Linked DNA regions of Drosophila melanogaster. Changing the gene in region 1 together with any one later gene gives a genetic interaction. Each region holds a gene or a part of one and is shown on either strand. Other genes may lie near its edges.

Region 1 (7,141 bases):
TCGGCTGGGTTTTCATTATGGCAAGTGCGTTTTTCAGCCAACCAATAATCATCGATCTGGACCCGGGAATTGGAAATGGCTATGTGAATTCGAATCACAGCCATCGAAAGTCACCGACAATGACATTTGCAACGCCCTCAATAGAGAGTCAACCGTCACCGGCATAGAAATCTGGCTCCGACTTGGGATTTATTGTAGAAACGTAGCTGTCTAGCTTTTGTGCCGCTTTGGTCTGCCTTTGGCCGCCATGATTCAGCAGAAGCAATCTCTTTTTGCAGCTGTTGTTGCGACTGATGAACAATATGAATAGAGCGTTTTTCTGTACAGCTTGGCAAGCGAGCTCAGGTAGAAACGAACTTTAAGTGCTCACTTTCTGGCATCACGAAGATGGATTGCTCTTTCTGCAACTTTTGCCATAAGAAGGCCACTTAATAAGAGGGATCAGAATGAATCCCTGAATGAAATAACATAACAACATATTGCGCATACGCCATGTTGTACCTGATGCATTTTTTTTAAAGCCCTTTCTTTTTGGAAATTGGAAATTTTCTTTGTGCGCGTTACCAAGAAGTGCGAACAGTAAGGTCCCATTGTAAGGGACCAATTATGTATGGCTAGGCCACCATTGTGTGTGAACTGGAGTAATCGTATCCGTTGGCAACGGGCGCAATTAGCAGACTGATAATGATAATGGCGCGAGCCCAATGTGGTCGCTATGAGCCATCCAAGTCGGTTATGCCCGGCCGATTCAGTAAACAAAATGGCAAACAAAAAAAAACTAACGACGTAACGTGCGCAGCAGCGATCAGATCGCACCACTTGACTTTGAGAAAGGGTTCTGTTTCCAGTAGGTTCCACGGGCAGTAAATAAACTGCCTCGCAGCTGCTGGGCCACATGTACATATGTAGATAGCCAGATAAAATGTACAAATGTATGTATGTATATAACCCGGAGGAACTGGTTCTGGTGAAAGAGATTCGATCCGATACGCCGAAGACACCTCGTTGGATGCGACGCGAACTACACGTAATAGTTGAAACGCTGCGATCACAAAAGGGGGTTCAAATCAGGCAGATCGTATATATTTATATACATATATATCTGGGTATACCGGTAGAGTCAAGACCCGTTTAATATGCGAGACATCCACGTCGACTAGAGGACTCTCGCTTGCGCTTAACATTGAAATGGATGGGTGGTGATGGTGGCAAAACGGGAATTGTGCACTCGGTTACTGTGTCACCAATCCAACAGCTGTTGTCTGCACTGCAATAAAATGCCACATCAAAGTAACAAAGTTACAGAATATGTGGAACAACTAATAGGTAACTACAAGTACATGTTAACAGATTATTAACCGGGTTTAATTAGACATCACATGTAGATTTGTATACTGTGCACAAGTCACTCGTCATTTCTTTCAGCGAAGCATTCCTGGCATTCTGATTCAGTCTATTTGCAATTTCGCAATTGCCAGTCGCAGACGGTGATAAGTCGCCCGCTGCTATTTCTTTCCATTTTTTTTTCTTTTGTGGAAATGTTTCCCCGGATGATAAGACCAGAGGTTTGAGGCGAAAGTCCGCCCGCCACCCCCTGATAAAGACCCACGTGCTCCGTACAATCGTTTATTGTGGTGAATTACAAAAAAAAAAAAGCACACAAAATATACGTAAAAAATAATCACTTTCCGCTTAGCGTCTGCAGGTGTTTATCATCTTATTTTTGGGTGGCGCTGTTGCAGGGAAAGATGCCTCACAGTTTCTTCTTCTTCTACGCTCTAGGGTTAATGTGTAGGATATATAATGTAGTATATGTATTGGTTTTAGTTGAACGGGGGGTTTGCGATTCGAATCCACTCCCACTCGCCAGGAGCGGCCCCGTTCAGCGAACAGATAGCCTCTTTAGGAGGTGGTCTCGAAGTACTCCTTGGACTTGGTGGGATCGGCCACCATGGTCTTCTGGCCGGGCTTCCAGTTGGCGGGGCAGACCTCGCCGTACTTGTCGGTGTACTGGAAGGCCTGGACGAGACGCAGGGTCTCCTCCACACTGCGACCTACGGGCAGATCGTTGACGGTGATCTGGCGCAAGTTCTGCTTGTCATCGATGATGAACAGGCCGCGGAAGGGGATGCCAGTCTCCTCATCGAGCACTCCATAGTCGCGGGCCACCTTCATCGACTTGTCAGCCAGCAGTGGAATGTCCATGCTGCCCAGACCACCCTGCTTCCTTGGCGTGTTGATCCAGGCCAAGTGGGTGAACTGGCTGTCCGTGGAGCAACCGATCACCTCGCAATTGATCTTGCGGAACTCGGCGGCGCTCTCCGAGAACGCAATGATCTCGGTGGGGCACACGAAGGTGAAGTCCAGCGGGTAGAAGAAAAGCACCAGGTATTTGCCCTTGTAGTCGCTCAACTTGATGTCCTTGAAAACACCGTTGACGACGGCGGTGCCGGCGAATGCGGGAGCGGGCTTCTGTAGCTGGGGCATCTGTTCAATGAATGGATGGCGAATTAGAGACATGTTTCTTCAAACTAGCGAATAATTAACAACAAAGTGCTCTGAACTTAGTCGCCTTCTTTTGAGAACTTCAATTGTAAATCCCTCATATGGTCCCCTTGAAATCTCGCTGTGACTGATACTTCCTCTTTCGACCGATACGCATCTTATCTTATCTATCAAGATTTTTTGGGCCCCACAAAAAACAAAAATTTCATCACTCTAACCTCGGATTATTACAAGATAACCGTTGTTTAAAAAAATTGCATTTATAGAGGCTAGTGAAATCATGGAAATTAATATGAATAGATACTGTTAAAGTATTATGATGGGAAATCAATATTATGCTAGGCCCTTAGAATGAAAATTGGAAATATTTACGAAATTCTTGAAATTTCTCATATGCAATATACCTATTTTGTAGTAAACTTACTATTTTATAACCTTTAATCTTGCCTATGTAACTTCCAATTGGTTTTCAATTGTAAAGTAGTTAACTTGATGCTAATTCCATACTAAAAGTCTCTATAAATCGGAGTTCTAATGGCGGCAATTACTAACGATTAAGGGCAATTACCCTTGACTTCCAGATATTTCGCCACAAACTGGAAAGATCAAAGAGGAGAGTAGAAAAGCTGAACTCTACAAAATGGCCGCCGAGCGAAGCGAAATGGAAGAAACCCGGAATAATAAATTAGCCAAATTTTTCGACTGCTCCCATTTATGCGATTGAATTTATTGAACTGTCGGCACGTTCGCGTATTTCATGTAATGGATGCGAATTAATTACAAATCACAAACTTATTTCTGAATTGGCAAATATTTTCCTCTAGTTTTGATTTCATTTTTGTGCCCTTTTTTTCGCCGGCTCTTCGCGTGTACGTGTGTGTGTAAGTGTGTGCGACGGACGTGCCAATAAAGTGGAAAAAAAAGAACGAAATGTGAAGAAAAAAACTATGCTCTCGGTGCAAAAAGTTGTGAAATAATCTCGAATCTGCCGACCGAACATGAACATCATTATCTTTTGCTCATCGAAAAAGAACAACAACAGCAACAACAGCGATGCTAATTTCTAATCTTACGCTCCGCAATTTCTCGCCGACTTTGCCCAGAATGAGCGACCTGTTCATCGCCCAAGGAACACTCACTTTAAACAGTTATATTTTTTCTCTTAGTAATTCTCGGTAATTGCTTGACTTCCGCGTGGGCTTCCTCTTGTTCGTTCTCTCGCAGCTTCAGCTTTCGCACAAACAAACCTTTCGGCACGAGTTGAAATTCGCGAATGGATTGAAATTAAGCGAATGCTGGTCGACCAGGGCTGCCGCAACACGGATACCGCTTGCGATAGGCAGCGCCGATTAACGCTGCTCATCGATATTTTTTAGCAAGTGCTTAAAGCGCCATCTATCAACTATTGGCGTGCTTTTCAAAAGTGGATTCTACATTTTAAATGGTAAGTTTTAATATTCAAGTTTTAAGATAGTAGCGCTTAATAACTTTTGATAGACTTGGAAACAAGTACTACTACTAATAATAAATAATGTGTAATAATATGTACTGAGCAGTACTTTTAGTATAATTCGGGCACACCAGCTTAACGGTCACACTGGTCGTCATTTTGCCGCCAAAATGAAAAAACCGCGCTTTTTTTTAATTCTTCCATTATAAATAATGTAGTTAAAGAACTGATTCCTGTTTATAATAACCATTTCTATTCCACTTTGGCGCAAATAATATTTTCTATGTATTATGCTATTCTGTGGTCCACAAATCTCCACAAATAAATTGAAACAAGTACTTTCGTTTTTTCGTTTTGTTTTAACTGAATTTAATAGTGCACAATTAGTAGTATTTAGTAGGTAGTCGCATAACCATTATATTAAAAACTTAGTCTAAGCTCTTGTTGCGTGTTGGGTGTGTTCATTTCTTAGTTACTTTTCGTATCGTTACGATCGACAGTTGCAACTGCCTTGTGGGTATTATCTCCAGCCATTCGGGTATCTCTAGGATTCGCCAAACGTGAATTTTTTTGTTTTTTTTTTTGTTTTGGATAAATAAATTACACTACAGCAGCAGCAGCAGCACATATAGGCCAGGCTATATATCTTCTATATATGTATATGTACGCGTATATCGTATATATTAAAAAATATGTGTATGCATATTGTGATTTCAGTCTTTGATTTTAAACTTAAGGGGTTAAATGTACGCAAACTGTTAGAAAAAAACAAAAAAAAAATGTATAACTAAGCCTAGGAATTGGGGATTAATCGATTCGGAAATTGGAAATGTCTTTGTCTCCGGGGCCCAGCCCCAAACCTCCGTGTGGAAATGTATGGATTTCCCATTAGGGTTTGCTCTCTTCACCCGTCTGCTCCGCTTGATCTCCTCCAGAACCAGAAACGGGTGACTGAATGGCCTCCGCCTGCGCTTGCGCATGCGCCTCCGCCTCCATGGATGCCTGCAGCTCCACAAAGATATCAATGAGATTGTTGATACCGATGAGATAGCCATCTTCGTGGTTGCCCACCTTCCAGGCGGAGTAGTGATCGATCCGCAGCTGCGGCGGCAGCTCCACCGTCTTGGCGAAATCAATTAGCCATATGCTGGCGTGGGTCTGATCGTGGACGAAGAGCAGGGAGCTGCCGATAACCTCGTGGGTCTGGAAGAATTCCGAGACCGCAAGGGTGGCCCTTATGGCTCGCAAACGCTGTATGTAGCGGGGCTGTATGCAAAAAAAAAAAAAGAAAAGAAAATAAAATAAAAAGAAAAGAAAAAGTAATGACAAGCGCAGGGAATCCCCAAGTTAATGGCATTCAACTGGGCATGCTTGGCTAATTTGAATACCCACCAAAATATGTGGGTGACCGCTGAGGAACTCGAGAAAGGCCAACTTGATTTGTTCGCGTGACTTCGTCGTTTTGAAATCTTTGGAACTGGTGCCATCGCTCTTCTTGATGCCCTGCGAATGATGTTTAGACGATTAAATTAATGGCTTTCCATTAACTTTTCTGAATGAATAATTAATGTTTACATTTGACTTTAAGGATAAATGTGTAGCCTGGCACTTTGCACACGCTTCTCATTCACATAGTCGTATGTTAATTTAGTGGTTTCGTTTTTTTGGGTTGGCTATTCAAGTTTAAATGGAATAGATTCAATTCAAATTCAAGCCCACCTCGATGCGGAATCCCAGCGTGGCCGTGCTGGAGATGGTCTCACGCCAGACCATGTAACGTGGCTTGGTCACCGCCTTGGCTGCGTGCTCCTCGGCGGTGGGAGCGTGGCTGTCGATTTGGATCATCTTGTCGTACATATCCTTGCGCAGCTTGGGCTTCTCCTTGGCCTTGGACAGCTCCTCCTCCAGATAGGTGCGCACACCCACCTTGCAGTCCATGACGCATGGCTGCACATAGTCACTGAGCAGATCCTGCAGCTGCAGGTAAACTGTTTGTGCCACACGATTATATCAGTTAGATTAGTTAGCAAGGATAATCACAATTCGTTTCACTCACGTTCGCCATCCTCGCTGGTCACCTGACCCTTGTAAACGGGCACATAGGGCCTAAGCAGATCGTGCATGAGAATCTGGAAGCACTCCTCCTCCTTGGGACAGAGCTTCTTGAGCACGGTGCCCGGTTCGGGACCTGCCTTGAAGTTGCCCTGGTGTCCGGCCAGTTGAACCCATGGATAGCGCTGCTTCTTGTACGTCTGAAAGAAGGGCGTCCACTGAACGATGTTGCGAATCTTTCGCCAGCCGGAGCTCTGCAAGAATCGTGGGTAAATCGATTAACTCAAGATGATGCTAGAAAAATCAGCATTTTTAATTCTTATAATACAAGTGTGCAAAGTCTGCGAGAATAATACGTTAAATCAATTAGTAAATAGCTCATAATAATGTTACAGACTGTTGCTACATTTCGCTAATAATGCATTCCACTAATTAAGTTTTGTTTGTTTATTGGAAATGAAACAGTTTGCATGAGACAGCTGGCTAATGACCCATTTTTGTGCCCTGATTTTTCAGCTGAGTTGTTATCACTCGATCACATGTGAAAACACGAGCGGAAAAATCACGTGGATACACCAACTTGTTTTTGATCTATAAATTTGGTTGTATTTAGTACTTAAAGTTGTTCAAGTCGAATACTAATAACTAATATAATGTATGATGTATACAAACCCTTTCAAAGAACTTAAACTATATTATTAGATCCTGAGATAGATCCTATATCTTTATCGGACTACCCATCCTACCTTCTTGCCGGTGGTGCTGGCTTGGGATGCGGCACCCGATCCCGATCCCGTTGCCGAGCCAGCCGCCGAGGTCGACACATCCGAGTCCCATTCGGAGCTGAGATCATCGCTGCTGGCGTAGCCATAGTCCCGCGGCATGGGCACCTCCAGCAGCGACTTGGAGTACTGAATGTAGCCGGGACACAGACTTTGGCCCAATGGCGAATGCGATCGTCGTGGTCCCGGGCTCGTTGGCGATGCTGGCGAGGTGGGTGAGCCCAGGGGCAGCGAATGCTGTTGCGACAGCTTGCGGCCCAAATTCAAGCGCAGGCCACAATTGTGGGCCACATGCTCACCCGAATTGGCCGTAATGCTAATGGTCGGCATCGATAGCTTCTTCTCCGCTCGC
Region 2 (6,648 bases), on another chromosome or scaffold:
GGTTTACACAATAGCCTTCTACGTCAATTTGTTTGGCTGCTTTGCATTCACGTCTGATTGACTTTTTAATGGGCTTCACATTTGATTGAATTGAAATTTCACAGAAATTAAGCAATCAATTGCGCAGATCGACTGCAGTGTACAAAAATGTGTTTAAATTTGCATTGGAACATTGCCTTACTACTAATGCTTTTAACATTTGTAACATTTGTTACCCTAATCAGCGCCAAACTCTTTTCAAAACCATTATTTACAATTATTACACACATGTGCGCTGGGTGGGAAAAAGTATGCTAATATGCCAAGTAACCGGGGCAAATATTTTTTCAAACCCTTAAACCAAAAACGGAGGCAAACTCAGCAACAACATTAATGGCAAACAGCATATGGGAAAAACGACCCAAAGCTAAAGCCAAAGTTATGCCTAAGTGGCAGCTTTTTGCTTTGCCACAGAAAAAAAAAGAGGGAAGAACAGCAAAATTTCTTGCCCCGCAGCAACGAAAATAAATTAAAGGGACTCGGCAACTTTTTGCCTTGCTCCGTATTTTTGTCTATTTTTTTAATTTTTCTACAATTTACCCGCATAAATAAATGCAAGGAAAGTGAGTGGGAAAGTCCTGTGGCCAGGATCTAATGATTGAAAAAAAGGAAGAAGTGATAAAAAAAAAGCTGTGGGCCAGTCTAACTCACCCATCTCTCGTTTGCCTTTCGTTTCGACCATAATAACCTTTTATAACGCTCAAACGTGTATTTACTTTCCTTGGGGATATTTACTTAAATCCTCTCAAAGCCAAAAACGCCTTCTCCGCAAATTGTCCGCTCTGCTGTAATTTAATTTGAATTCTGCTGAAAGTTTACACCAGTTGCAGTACACACAAAAATACGGTCATAAAATATGCAACTTTGAAAAGAAATAAAAATGAAAAAGTCCTGTTCCAGGCAACAAAAGAGATTAAATTGCGTGGCCGTGTCTTGTCAACATTAGCTTTCAGTTTTTTGTTTGGGCGCATTGAACTCGTATTTGCGGCAGATAATATAAAATGTAGCCGTTTTATTTGTTGTTGTTATGAGTTTCATTTCGATTTTGATTTGAATATGTGTGTATTTTAGACGTACGCGTGCTCCGCAGGTACATAATCATGAGTTGGAACTTTTTCCTACATTTCTTTCTGCAAATCAATCCAATTAGAGATTGCACATGCCTTCCACCTCTGATGATTGCAGTCGGAAACTCAATTTCATCACGTATACGTCATGTGGCGCCAGATAAGGCAGCCATAAAAATCTATTAAAAATCAATTTGTTTGAGACAGCTGTTGTGCTGCGCTAATCCAAAGTCTTGAACTTTATCCACATCTAGTGGATGCTTAATTAAGGCCGTCGACTTGGTAAAAGCCAAAAATTAATAAACGCAACACGTGCAGCGATTTTGTTGGCTGTTTTGCGAGGATGTTTTTTCTATTTTCCCTCAACACTTGGTGGGTGGATGGAACGCCAAGGCCTCCTGGACATGGGCAATCGCAAAGTTTGTCGAGCAAGGCGCTTTGAAGTCTAATAGGATTAGTTCGCACAAATGTGGGCGTGTCTGTCTATGACAAATAAACGCCCTTCTGCGGCTGTGTATCTGTATTTCTTTGCTATAAATAATATTCAATATTGCTAAGCAAATATTTGGCATGCGAATATTCCTAGACGAGGATTTCTTATATCAGTAAATATTTATCATATCCATGGCTGGCTTGCTTGAGGCCAACGAAAACGAGTAATCTCTGTTTTGCCTTGAAAAAGTAATAAATAAAAATCTGTAAAATTCTTTGGTCTCCCCGGGTGGTAAATTGGGACTATTAGATACATTATAAGCTTACCAAAAGTTTCTTGGCTAAAGCTATCTACCCACTGCATTCATTAGGTGTCAATACTCGCTTGTATTACTGCCTGCACATATTACAATACATTTATTTTTGTAGAGTGTAATTAGAAACGATAAAACACCACATAAACGCGCACAAGTTTGGTTAGTTATAAGTTAATAGCAAAAAGTGTATATGATTCCAAGAGTTTTCCGTTTTCAAGTCCGTTTCCATTGATTCTTAAAATCATCTCTGTTAGTTGGAGCAATCATCTAGGCCTTGTCAATCACACGATCATTGAAGACAATCCTTAAATCGGTCTTGGCCATGTTGCCAAAGGCACCGACCAATTCGGTGAGATTGGCATTGGGCAGGCGCCTATCGAAGGGATAGCCCATGGTGCGTCTGTCAGGATACAATTTGTCCTTCAGACCACAGAACGAGTACGCCGTGCTGCAGGCATCGTTGGGTCTAATGGGCGACAAGGAGAATGTCAGCTGATGATGGGAAATTGGGTTTATAGCACTCACGTTTTGGGCTGCTCAACGGAGTCCTGCGAGTAATCGGAAATCATGACGAACAGGTCGAAGACCATTCCCTGGGCATTGCCCTTGGGCAGCAGGAGATGCTGTGGCCACCCACATCCGCAAAACTTGAAGCGTGCCAACTCATCGGCGGCCTTGGGCTGATAGTCTGCTCCAACCGGGCGGAATGAGCGCTCGAAGGGAATGGCCACCGAGGACTCTGTCGACTGGCGGCGTATGGTGTTCTCACCAGGCACCACTGGGGATTAATTAAAGTATGTTAATAGATCGTAGGAGGTTGTCAGTAGGGAAAAGTATAAGCTAAAATCACTGGCTAGCTTTGTACGAAAGAAACACTTTTTAAATACCAAAATATTAAATAAATATATATACTAAGAAATACAGTTATTACTCACAATCAACTGTGAACTTGTCCATTTCGATGGCCAACAGTCGCTGCTCCTCCAGATTCAAAGCCTGATTACGCTCATCCACCTTGGGGCAGATGAAGATACGGCAAGTACCCGTTCGTCTGGCTCCATTATTGGTCACATTGAATGTATAAGTGAAGGGGGCATTCTGGAGATGGGTGAACGAGGCGAATATGTTGCGATCGGTCGTTGGTCCAAAGTCCAGGCCAGCTGCCAAGTCGGCACTCGACTTCTGCCAGTAGGTCAACAGGGTGTTGGCCTTGGTATTGGACTTGCCAATCTTGGCCTCAATGTAGTCCACGGTAATACCATCGAAGTTAAGCTCACCGGCATTGTACGGGTTCAGGCGAGTCTTGAATTTGTTGAACACCGTGTCGATGAATCCGTGCCACCTGTAGAAGATTGGATCCCTCATGGCCGTGGTCACATCGCCCATCACACCGAATTCCTCCAAGTGACGGTAATCGGGATCGTGGGCAAAGGAGATTATGTTGTGCCCCTCGTTGTGTAGATTGCCATAGAAATTATAGTTGATGGATAGGACTGGCGATGCCTCAATCATGTTGCCCAGGATATCGATGCCACGAACTTCGTCCAATGGTATACGATTGCCAGAAGACTATGGATTAGCAAATAAAAATTTCTAGTGCTTTCTATGACCTATGCTCAATATTCCAAACGGGCCCAACTCACATCTTCAACGTATCCTTGATCTATGGCAGCCAGCACGCGATCACGCCAGCGCTCCACATCGGAGATCTCCACACGCCCATCATGGCGGTCCACGTCCCTCAGCTTTTGGTTGGTCACTCGGGCGGGATAGGTGCGGTTATTCGTGCTGGACAGGATCTTGGGGAAGTAGCCCTCGGGAACCTCCACACGCAGATTGTTCAGCGGCTGAACCTTCTTCAGATTGTTGCAGAAGCGCTCCACATTGTAGCGCGCGAGTATCTGGTGGTGCATGTAGTAGAAGAGCTCGCCACGACGATCCTTGTTGACCACCTCCGTGGGTCCGGTGGTCGGGTAGACCAAGTGCCAGTGCCAATGATGGCTATTAACACCGATGTCCTCACGGAAGTACGCCAGGCGCTGTTCATCCTCGCGATCCGAGGCCGTGTAGTTTTGCGGAATGTCCACATGGACACGAGCGCCGCTCTCTCCAATAACAGAAGCTTCCTGACGGGCATCCTGTGGTCAAATTTATAAATACACCATTAAAGACTTTGATTGGTCAAATAAAGAAGAACTTAAACGAACCCGGAAGGCGGAAGGTTCTACAAAGTTGCTCGGAAAGATCTGGGAAATGTTGGTAATGGGCACTTCACGCGTATCCGGGCGATGGGCAACGGCGACGGCATAGGCGTATTGGAACAACACAGGATTCACACGATCCCTAAAAAATTAATACATTATACAATACATATATATTTATTTTAGTACAAGTACTTACTTGGTGTAAACGGAAAGCGACACGAATTGTCTGAGATTTGGTGCGCTCATGAAGAGGGTGATCAGCTCGCTGGCGATCTCACGATGGCGATTGTTAAACAGCGAAAATTGATTCTTGAGACCAATCTTTTTGGTGAACTCCAGACTGGGAACGTTGCTCAACTCCTGAATTGGGATCTTCAGATCCACGTCCTTAGAGAATCGATTGCCCACCTCCTCGGTGTCATTGCGATAGCGATCCGTATAGAAGGAATCGGGCAGTTCCAATACAGTTTTTCCGGAGTCACGAGTGGTGAATGCCGGTTCCAGGGGTCGCTGGAACATAAGTTCCAAGGCTTTCAGATCCGTGTTAGTCATGGTTTTCTCTATGGATGTACACTTTCAACTACACTTTTAACTTCACTCAACGAAGCCAGTTGCAGAACTGTGATTTTCCCAGGAAGCCGAACTCATTTTATAGCTAACTAGCAGTCCGAATATAAAAATAATATTTTTAAAAATATTCATTATCAAGTCCCAACCGCAAAACTGCAATGGTCGAGCCTTTTTTCTCACAAATCCAAACGTTGTGGTTTAGTCGATAGCTTCTGAAAAAGCAAAAAGTGCAATACCGCAAAAGTTGTTGAGCCGCAAAATGATAAGAGAAATACTTTTAATTGCTTGCATAAAATAATATACCATTGTTGATTTTCAGTTGAATGTTGTTAAACGTGAAACTGTATTGAGCTTGTTAGATACATATACTGATTTTTTTTCAATACTGCACTGCCTAATGTATACCCACAACCAATTAATTGTTTTCAACTTTTTGAAGAGTTATTAGTTCCGGGGTAGGAAGCTTAAATTGAATTTCTTTGTCTTTGCCGAAAAAGTATCCGAGAAACCTTTTTGCGACCACGCGAAATACAACTCCCAAAGTAAACAAGCCGAAGGCCACCGGAAAAGCTTCTTATTCGCATAGAAATAACACCGAATACTTGCTCAACAGGCTGCCACGCCCCCTTAAAAAGAACCGCCCATCGCCGAATGGGAGGCCATAAATTTGGCTTGGAGCAGAGGGCTCGTCCTTCGACATGGCCCATAAATTTGGTTTTTGAAATGGCAGTGTGTAGCTGAATGTAACTAAGAACTAACTGGCAAGAGAGCTTGGATGATTAAAATATCTATACTGTAAATCAATTTTTGTCGCTACGCCGTCTGGCCAAATGAACGATGTTGGCCAAAAAGCAAAGCGAATGGCCAAACTTTTGGCCATTGTCAATAATAAATGTTTCTGCCGACTTTGGCGTTGAAATGTGTGCGCATTAATCTGTGAAATTGACAGCAACAAAAACGAGCGTAACAAGTTTGCATAAATGTGCGGGTTTCGGGCGAAAATTGAAAAGATGAATTTTCACAATTTCTGCACTCTGGCCATAACAACATGAAAATGACTTTTCTGCTCGACTTTGTTTTGCTAATGTCGATGTTCCAGCAGATACACCATCTTTTCAGTTTATGAACTATGTACGGTAAGCAATGTAAGCCAAATTTGACTACCATCAATTGAATTTTTGTTTGAAATAACTTAGGCAAGAATATTTTATACGATTTTTTGTAGATTCTTTTAAACCATGCATACCACTTATGTATGTAATATAGTAATATATTGCAGAGTATATTGAAGTTGGCTTTTCCTAGAAAACACTTGACTGCACGCAAACATTTATCCGAGCAATGTAATTTTTCATTGAATATTCAACGACAGCCATGGCAAATGTGCTCCAGATTCCAGCCCAAAAGACAAACTTGCTTTAATTAATTATAAATTGTGGAAAAGTGTGTGCTTCTGCGAACTTGGCAGTGTGAATTGAATTAGAATGAAAATGGGCCAAAGCAAAAGCTTTAGGCCAGGACACGTGCAGAGCCTGCTTTCACCGGCGAAACAGAACAAAAAAAAAGGAAAAAACCCAAACTTTTACCAACAAGTCTTAAAAACCACGCAAGTTTGTAAAAGGCGCCAAGCACTCTTTCTGTTTGGCTTTATGGGCGAAAGTCTGGTCCATAAAATGAGCTGTGGGTATGCGTTAATTACCCGCTGGCTTAAATTTTACATTTTGGCTTAAGCACTCTGCGGCCAGGTTCGAAAACACATGATGCCTCCGCCCCAAAGAACATTCCAAACTATTCATTAGTTGTGGGCCAACCGCAGGAATTTGCGGCAGTGTGTTATCAAAATTTCGAGTGGGCTACGCTTTCAATTGTTTGCCCACTTGGGCACCAAACTGATTAAAGTTTCATGGCTCTAATCTGTTTGCAACTTATCAGCTCCATTAATGTGGGTGGGCTTTCATGAACAGGGAAAGGGTTTGAAAAAGGGTGTCGAAATTGAGTGGGTCTTGTTGGTTTAATCTC
Region 3 (8,734 bases), on another chromosome or scaffold:
GGACCAGGACTTCAAAGTGGCAGGACTCGTACTTCGGGTGCTCCACAAGAAACTCTGCGCACTTCTCATAGATGTCCACGCACTGCATGGACTTATTTTCGCTCTTCATGAAGTGCCTTAGGATCTTTCGGGCCTCCGCGTCATCCAGGATTCTTCCGACACTGTTCGAGAGCGCGTATATCCTTTCCGCCTCGCAAAGTTTCATGTTCTCCATTAGTTCTTCATAACTTTGCTGCAGTTTTGTAAAAGTTTTATTTATTTCATTTTTAGTAATTCATTAGCGAACCTTTTCCGAACTGGGTGCCATGCTTGAGTAATAATTTCAAAATAAAAACAGTTGAAGTGTATAGGCTGCCCCTTTTATAGTCTCGTGGGCTGCTCAGCTTACTAAATTTTCGGACCTTTATCTTTTATAACTCATAATTTTTTCGGAGCCATAAACTTTGCGCATTGAATCATCAAATCATAGTCTCATAATCATCTATTTTAGAATTACAAAAATGTGTGATTATTGTTTTTAAAGAAGTTAATCTAAGTATTAACTTAATATAATATAGAAATACTTGTTTCAGGCATATTTAAAGGAAAATAAATCGAAATAAATAAGAGCTTTCAAATAAACTTAAGGGAAGCTGCTTCCTTATTGTTCCTTCCATTTACTGTATAACGTTTTCGCGTACCTAATGCTGTTTGAATTTTAGATTCTTGGCGGGCCACATGTAGTGCTGCCAACCTATTCGAGGCGAATATTAATCGTGCAGAGTTTGTACGTTGTGCAGCACTACAGCTGGCGCACGCTATGCCTCACATTAGAATTTGTTTTGTTGCGGAATTTAGGTACTGAAAATAACTTACGACTCATTATCATGCGGTTTGCCCAAATAATTGTGGGCCCGGCAGGCAGTGGCAAGGTATGTCCACAAAAACGGCAGCCGATGCGCGCCATTAATCTAACACACAATATTCTCCCCAGTCGACGTACTGCAGCTTAATGCAGCAATATGCGATGGACTGCAAGAGAAATGTTCAGGTGGTGAACCTCGATCCGGCGGCAGAGCACTTCACCTACAACCCGCTGACGGACATTCGCGATCTAATCCACCTGGACGATGCCATGGAGGACGAAGAGCTGCACTACGGACCGAACGGCGGCCTCATCTTCTGCCTGGAGTTCTTGATCGAGAACCAGGAATGGCTGAAGGAACAGCTCTGCGGCGGCGAGAACGAGCTGATGGTGGGCGAGCCGGATGATGACTACATCCTGTTCGACATGCCCGGCCAGATCGAGCTCTTCACTCACCTAAAGATGGGCAGACAGCTGGTGGAACTGCTCGAGTCCTGGAACTTCCGCACATGCGTCGTCTTCTGCTTGGACTCGCAGTTCATGGTGGACGGGGCCAAGTTCATTTCCGGCACCATGGCCGCGCTCAGTGTGATGGCCAACATGGAGCAGCCGCACATCAATGTGCTGACCAAAGTGGATCTGCTGAGCAGCGATGCGCGGAAACAGCTGGAGATGTACCTGGAACCGGATGCCCACAGTCTGATGGGCGAGCTGACCATCGGGACTGGTTTTGGCGAGAAATACGCAAAGCTTACGCAGGCTATTGGCGCGCTAATTGAGGATTTCAGGTGAGCTAATCAATTATAATTAATTGATACTTAAATCGGTGGTAGCGGAGTGGAGTTTTACTGAGCATTTTACAAAAATTACAGTCCAAAAAATCCAAAAGTTAATTACATTTGAAGAGAGACTATTGTAAGCGATTAGCCGCAGAAAATACACGAAAAAGTCGACTATGGTTGTTAATATTTTCGTTTTAGTTAGTTCGATTTAATCACCAACATTATGATTTTATTAACATCGGTAGGTTTTTTATCAGAAGATTTTTTAATACAATCATATCAAAGGAAACACATTTTTGGTTTTATCGAAATGTTTTATTTTAAATGATAAACACAGGTTGATTAGTCCTTATAATAACCAAGGTTGATTTAAAGGGATTCTTGCCATAAAATAACTTCAAATTGTTAGCAAGAAATGATAATATTTTCTAATAAGACAAAAATAATGGAAATATGTATTTTGTTGAAAAAATTTAAGCTTGACCTCCAGTTCGACTTGCAATTTCAATCGCATAAAATTTTGTGGGCACATTTTAATACTATTTTTTCTTAGACTTCTGAACTTCTTTGTTCATGTCAATTTGGAAGGCAAAACAACCTATAATTATATATTATTATATAATTATGTTATTATTATTATATCAATATATATATATATATCGAATATTTCACAAGAATTAAAAGGAGAACGTTTTTCACTTCCCTTGCTGGCAGGGTCTTAAGTTCTAAAACTACAATCTACAACTTCAGGCCCATAGACTTGCGCGTCGGATGGAATGGGTGTTCCATGTGTGACATATCCGGTGGGTTCTGCTCAAACGCACTTATCTCCTGCATGCCGCTGTTGGCGATCTCCCACAGCTGCGGGTATTCCACCTTGAAGGTTTCGTACCACTTGTTCACCAACGTAAACTGGTGCAAGTCAAAGTTAATTGCCTCCAAGCAGATCGTGGCCGAAATGAGAGCGAAGTCTGCAATGGTTATGTTCTCGCCTGCCGCGTACTTAGTGCCCAGTCGCTGCAAATAGGTTTCGAACACATCAAGTGCGTTCTGCACCTTCTTTAGCGACATGGGCGTACGTTTGTAGTCGAAGAAAATGGGCGCCATGCTGTGGGCGGATATGGGGGCATAGTAGAATCCCATGTTAAAGCATAGCCGCTGATTGATTACTGCTCTCACATTGACGTCCTGCGGATATAGCGTTGAATCCGGCGCGTACTTGTCGCAGAGGTATTGCATAATGGCAATGCTCTCCGATAGATAGAAACCGTCGTCGTCCAGCACGGGTATCTCCTTTTGCGGATTCATCTGCAATGATTTGAATTTTTAATGACTTGAAAATCAAATTCATGACTCCATATGCACATACCTTCGAGTACTCCTCAGAGCGATGTTCCATGGCGCAAAAGTCCACATTGATGAGTTGATATTGTATATCCAAGGCCTTCAGGGTCATGCGAACGGCCAGGGAAGGCGGACCATCGGATACGGCGTAGAGTTTCATTGTGTAGATGGGTCTGTGGGTACACAGCGATCGTTAGTTTTGTGTATTTGTCTCTTGTTCGACCGGTTTGCTTGTAGCTTAAAAGTGAAAGCAATTTGCCTCTACTGTCTATTTTCTATATATCTATATATATATTTGGTTTAATTATTGCTGATGCTGTCTGTATTCAGTGTGTATTCTATCGCAAAAATTCTGTCAAAGAATTTCTGGGCTTTTTAAGAAATATTTTTAAATACTGAATAATAACAAACCCAAAATTAATGTTGTACGTTCGAGCAGCTTTCAAACCATACTGATGTGCTGAATTAACTTGCCAGATATTGCAGGTGTTCATTTCAATGACAATCCAAACTTGTTTTGCGTTTGAAAGGCATTATGCTAACATAGGTTCGCAAATACTCTGCCTAATTTGTCGACCCTTAACAGTCACGAATTCTTTATAATGAATCGAGGCTATGAATATTTGTTTCGAATAAGGGTAGGTGTTGTAAGTGTGCCAAAAGTTCTATCTCATTGTTAGTGTTCTTGTTTTTATTCATGCAAGTACGTTTTTTAAAAAGATTGTTATGTTTTCTTTCTTTCGGGATGGTATACATACACAATAGAGCCGTAGCTTTCCATTTCATCGGCTACTTCCTCGACAACCTCAATGATCCCATCTGTGTTGTCCACATCCATGTATTGTTGATCGCCCTCCATGGTCATTTCGACGCCTTCCTCTTGCTCCTGGTACTCTTCCTCCACGATAACAACATCATCTTCCTCATGGTGAGAGTCCGCTCTGTGGGACACGGATAATGATGCAGATCTGCTATTATTACTGCCGCTAACTCGAGGCTTCTTGTGAACCACAATGTCGCTGCTGATATTAGACACATTCAGGCGCTCGATGGCCAAATCACCATACTCCTGCTGAATCTGATCCAACGATTTGCCGATAAAGTGCAGCGGCCGAAACTTTAGGTTCTTGTTGTTCTTCTTGTTGATCTCGTTGTAGAGTCTCCGCTTGATGTCGTCCTCGCTGAAAGGATGGCTATGACTGTTGTAAACACGGAGCACACGAATAGAGCCATCCTTTTGGGTGGCCGTCGAGATGCGGCTCTTGCAATTGATGTCCGGATCGCGGCTTTTGATGCACACCCAATAGTTGCGCGAGATGACGCCACGGTTCTTGGCATGGTATATATAGCCATCGACGCACAGCAGTTCGTGCCCCTTGGCAGATCTCAGGGTACAAATCTTTGAGAGGTCCATGTCCGGCTGGGCGCCCTTTGCTGGCTCTGCTACATCGCGTCGCCTACGAATATTCGTGATCTGCGGCTGTCGAACTTTCGGCAAAGGTGTGGATGAATAAGCAGTGTGTGAATGTGGGTCGAGCTCATCTAGTGCGTCGGGCAGTATCTCGATCTTGGCGCTTATGTTGTTCGCTCCGTCCTTAAGGTACTGCACTATCATGTTCGCTTTCGATTCTGGTTCCATTTTGATGGCGCCATCGATGCTAATCACCTTCTTCATAACCACATTACGCGTGTCAATGTGTCCGTAGCTTTCGTCGACGCTGTTCTCCGCCTCGAAGGTATCGCCTCCCTGGCTGGCCGATCCCTCATCGCTTTCGAAACTGATCTCTTCAGAGTGCTCGATCTTTTGCAGCTTGTGCACATTGTCCTGATCCAGCTTGGCCTGCTGCTTTAGCCGGCGAGCAATTTCTTTTATATCCGGATTGTGCGTGTGCTCCCCATTGATTCGAAGCACTACTGGTCCGTTTTCAACCGGGTCTAGGGTAATGCGGACGTGACAAGTGTTGGCCTTGTCGCGTCGGTTTATGCATGTGAAGAACATGTGGCCGTTTGACCTGCTTTGCGAGTCGAAGTGGAACAGATGCTGACTCAAGCACAGCACCTTTCGACCCTTGGCCGATGGTAGAAATGTGAACTTGGTCAAGTCGGTTTCCGTGAGTGGATTGTGGCTCGGCGGCGGCAGATAGTTGGCAATTACGTCGAATGCCGCTGGCCACTTGGAGCTGTGATGCATTTTCGGGTCCACCAGCGAAGACTCGTCATCCCCTTCCTGGCTCTCGAGCTCTTCGCTGCCTTGAATCCCTCCACCTTGGCTTCCGTCCGTTCTCATGTATATATCGTAGTTATCCTCGCACTCCTCGATTATTATGGATTCCAAGTCATCGCCCCGCTGAGCTGTGTCGAAAGTGTTTTCCGGATCGAAGTACTCAAGATTGGGGCACTCTGCCAGCACATCAGAGGTATTTTCGTCCTCCACCAACACGATTTGGTGCTTCGAAAACATGTGCATCAGCTTGGCGGCCGAGTAGTGCGGATGAATGTGCGCATCCGTGTCGACGGCATGCAGGCGATGTGCCCCCGCCAAAGTCGCCTCCGTGCAGATCCTGGCCGTGCACTCAATGTCACGCTTGCGCACACAGGTCCATCGGAATATGTCGCCCTTGTAGGATTTCCCGGCCAGGTAGTACAGATGCCCGTCGATGCAGACCATCACGCGGCCGTCGCGGCGCCGTAGCATGTACACACGATCCTTGTCCTGCGGAATTAGAGTTCGTGTTAGTCATTTTTGTGCTGTAAAATTGTATATGAATTAAAAATGGTACATCATGGGAAATCTATTTAGGTGTAAAATTAAGTTAAGTGTAAGTTCAAAAGTATTTCATTCCCTTGGATATTCCCTTCAGTAGGGTGCATGTTATAAAATGATTGGGTCCCATTTTTTTCAAAAATCCCTAATATTTAGTTTCGTTTGGAGATATATAGTATTTTTTGAATCATAAATGATTAAGCTTTGGTATTTATTGTCCTTTTAACGGCCTAGCCGGTGGATTTGCAAATAGGAAAATAAATATAAAAAACAAATTGGCGGGAAACCATCTCATTACTAAGGTGAGCAAATTAACCTTTTTTTTACATTATCAAATGTTCAAAGTAGCGGTGGTTACCGAAATATGAATCAATATTAATATCAATGTTCTTTCTGAAAAAGAGACCCAGCTAGATTCTAAATAAATGGTTGAGTTGAGTATTCAGGGGCATGAGCCAGGTACAGTTGGCCTGGGGCCGTACCTCAAAGTCCAACTGGAACGAGGCCTCCACGGTGGAGGTGTCGATGCTTCCGTAGATGAACTCCGGCGGATTCATGCCGGCGTTGGCGCGCTCGTACAGGCGTGCTCTCTTCGGCTGGGTGGTGCTGTAAGCGTCGTTCATCATCATTACGGAGAGCCGCTTGCGCTGGGCCACCTTGTTGACCTCGTGATCGCTGCAGCGCGGGTGGATGTGGGCCAGAACGACGTCCACGACGACGTGGCGCGTCTTGTCCAGCGGATCGGGCAGCATGGTGCAGATGCGGGACTTGCAGGGAGTGGACTTGTCCTTGCGCCTGTTGCACAGCCATCGGTAGGTGTTATTCCGCCCGATGCGATCGAAGTGGTACAGATAGTCGTCCACGCAGAGCATATCCACGCCCTTGGCGGAGCGCACCACGGACACCTTGGTCAGGTCCATGCCGTGCTCCTCGACGGGCGTCTCCATTTTTGAATTGGTGCGCTGTTTGGCCCGAGCCCGGAATTCAGCGTTTTTCGATTTGCCCTCGAAAAGTGTTTTGTATCGTAAATTAGGCGATTTTTTTAGTGGCTGGCTGCCTGGGATTTGTTGGTTGGGATTTTTGGTGGTATTTCGTCAGCTCACTATTTGCGCGCCTTTTTGCAAACGCCGGCCATTTACCCAAACGCACTGATTTATTGCAGTTTGATGCACTAAAAGGGTTTATATTTGGTTTTTATCACTCGATTTTAATTGCACAAGCACATTTTCTTTTGCGACGCGTCGAAAAATGCTTTTGTGTGGGATACGAGGGCTGCGAGCTATGCGGTGGCGTTGCCACTTATCAAAATCGGTTATTTTTGTGACGTTCAAAAATTGTAAATATTGATGTTTATTATTCACTTACAGTTTGGTGAGATTTTTCCCGTTGGATTCCCAGGACGAGGAGAGCGTGGGCGATCTTCTGCTACAAATTGACAGTATCTTGCAGTACGGCGAGGATGCAGACGTGAACGTTAAGGACTTTGATGAACCGGAGGAAGGGGATCAGGATTGAAAAAAATCAATTTTTCATATTGCTTAAGAAAATGTACAATATTTTATTTTTAATAAAAAATTAAATCTAATCAAAATGCATGTCTAGCACCATCCCTGACCGCAGAGTTGCCACTGGTACAGTGTTGGACAACTGCTGCCGTAATTTTAAATTCCCCTACGCGTACGGCGTCTAAACAAAACTGCGATTCTAAGAACGAATATAAAAGCATGCAGGAGGCTGGCGAAAGTCCTGTTGGAATGCCTCTGAGCCAGGAGGCCATCGCACAGCGTCTCGCGGCGCTTAGTCGTTGGCAGGACGAGCAGAAGCGGCTGCTGCAGGAGCGGCAGTCCAATCACCGCGTTTTGCTCGGCTTGGAGCAACGTAATATGTACAAAATGCTGGGACTGCTACACCAGGAAACGGAAAGCCATGAAAACAGTGTGCTGGAGGAGTGGGACGAGGAGCACTCTATACAAATGCCGCGACTCGCGGCGGATCCGGACGAGCACGAGCCAGAGATTTCAATGGCTGATCCCCAGCCGGCCAAGCCTAAACGCCCTTTTCTGCGTCGCGGCGAAGGTCTAAAGCAGCGGTTCAAGATCAATCCCGACCAGCTGCGCCTGGAAAACCTGCCGCGATACAAGTTCGCTAATGCCCACCCTCAGTTCCGCACGCCTCAAATGAAAAAGGGTATTCTCAAGAAGCAAGTCAAGTCACCTCCCAATCCTGCGCCTCCACCAGCTCCCAAACCCTCAGCACAGCTCGACGATCTCAACGAGCAGCGCTTTCAGCAGATGCTTATCGGCAAGAACGCCTGCAGTTCCACTCCAGATCTAAAGTCTTCCTATGCGTCCTCCACAACCGCCTCGAGCACCTCGCCCAGAGTTCGTTTTGTAGAGCAGAAGAGCAGGGCGGGACAAACCACTCATGCCGATGATGAAGCCTCCTCGGAAGCTAGTCCCATGACAGGAGTTTGCTGGGCCAAGGTGCTGGACACACAGAGTATAAAGCCAGCGCAAATCCAAAGACGCTCTGCTCAAATCCGAGTGGAAGATGACAGCAATGTAAGCATATTCGAGCTGCTCGAGCAGAAGGCCACTGAGGGAAACATTGATATGAACTCCAGCTGCATTCGAACCTTTATGGCGCGCAAAGATCAGCGTCGCCGAGTAGCTGATGACTCCGATCACATTGTAGTCACACAGCAGGTGCGTCAGATGCGATTGCAGCCACAGGTGGACCAGATGCTGGTGCAGGAACTGCAGGAGGGGGACGAGGAGGACACCGAACCGTCCAGCGATCAGACCCTCACAATGACACCCATCCAGGTGGGGAATACTAAAGTGCGAGTGCGTTTCTCCGACTCCAATGACACGCACGAGTACTCCGATGCCACCAGCCTCAACGACGGCTCCAATATTCAGCTCTTTGAACAGTTCAAGTCCGCCCTCTTCCAGGCATTGGAACAGAAGAAGAAGTCAAGTCCCAGCAAGGAGTCAGACG

What was found. Genes that interact genetically often act in the same process or in processes that back each other up.
Region 2: of Prx2 (region 1) and PPO1, changing one suppresses a phenotype caused by changing the other (phenotypic suppression), as found in Drosophila melanogaster (one study listed by BioGRID).
Region 3: of Prx2 (region 1) and gfzf, changing one suppresses a phenotype caused by changing the other (phenotypic suppression), as found in Drosophila melanogaster (one study listed by BioGRID).

What each region holds. Positions count from the first base shown.
Region 1 is NC_004354.4:13,326,468-13,333,608, reverse strand, and holds Prx2 (peroxiredoxin 2), read right to left. Parts: upstream 3,786-7,141; 5' UTR 3,645-3,785; exon of another isoform or gene 3,579-3,644; intron 3,211-3,578; exon of another isoform or gene 2,930-3,210; intron 2,591-2,929; exon of another isoform or gene 2,488-2,590; coding exon 1,903-2,487; 3' UTR 1,615-1,902; downstream 1-1,614. Other genes in the region: IP3K2 (inositol 1,4,5-triphosphate kinase 2), read right to left, coding at 4,844-5,221, 5,348-5,458, 5,675-5,943, 6,012-6,261. UniProt on the Drosophila melanogaster protein: Thiol-specific peroxidase that catalyzes the reduction of hydrogen peroxide and organic hydroperoxides to water and alcohols, respectively.
Region 2 is NT_033778.4:17,885,290-17,891,937, forward strand, and holds PPO1 (prophenoloxidase 1), read right to left. Parts: upstream 4,685-6,648; 5' UTR 4,612-4,684; coding exon 4,256-4,611; intron 4,199-4,255; coding exon 4,063-4,198; intron 3,994-4,062; coding exon 3,499-3,993; intron 3,425-3,498; coding exon 2,791-3,424; intron 2,634-2,790; coding exon 2,381-2,633; intron 2,322-2,380; coding exon 2,123-2,321; 3' UTR 1,931-2,122; downstream 1-1,930.
Region 3 is NT_033777.3:7,143,950-7,152,683, forward strand, and holds gfzf (GST-containing FLYWCH zinc-finger protein), read right to left. Parts: upstream 7,020-8,734; 5' UTR 6,682-7,019; coding exon 6,217-6,681; intron 5,684-6,216; coding exon 3,729-5,683; intron 3,430-3,728; exon of another isoform or gene 3,382-3,429; intron 3,144-3,381; coding exon 2,996-3,143; intron 2,935-2,995; coding exon 2,365-2,934; 3' UTR 1,931-2,364; downstream 1-1,930. Other genes in the region: CG14610 (uncharacterized protein), read right to left, coding at 1-232, 287-307; CG2656 (uncharacterized protein), read left to right, coding at 867-911, 974-1,632, 7,102-7,249; Sas-4 (spindle assembly abnormal 4), read left to right, coding at 7,459-8,734.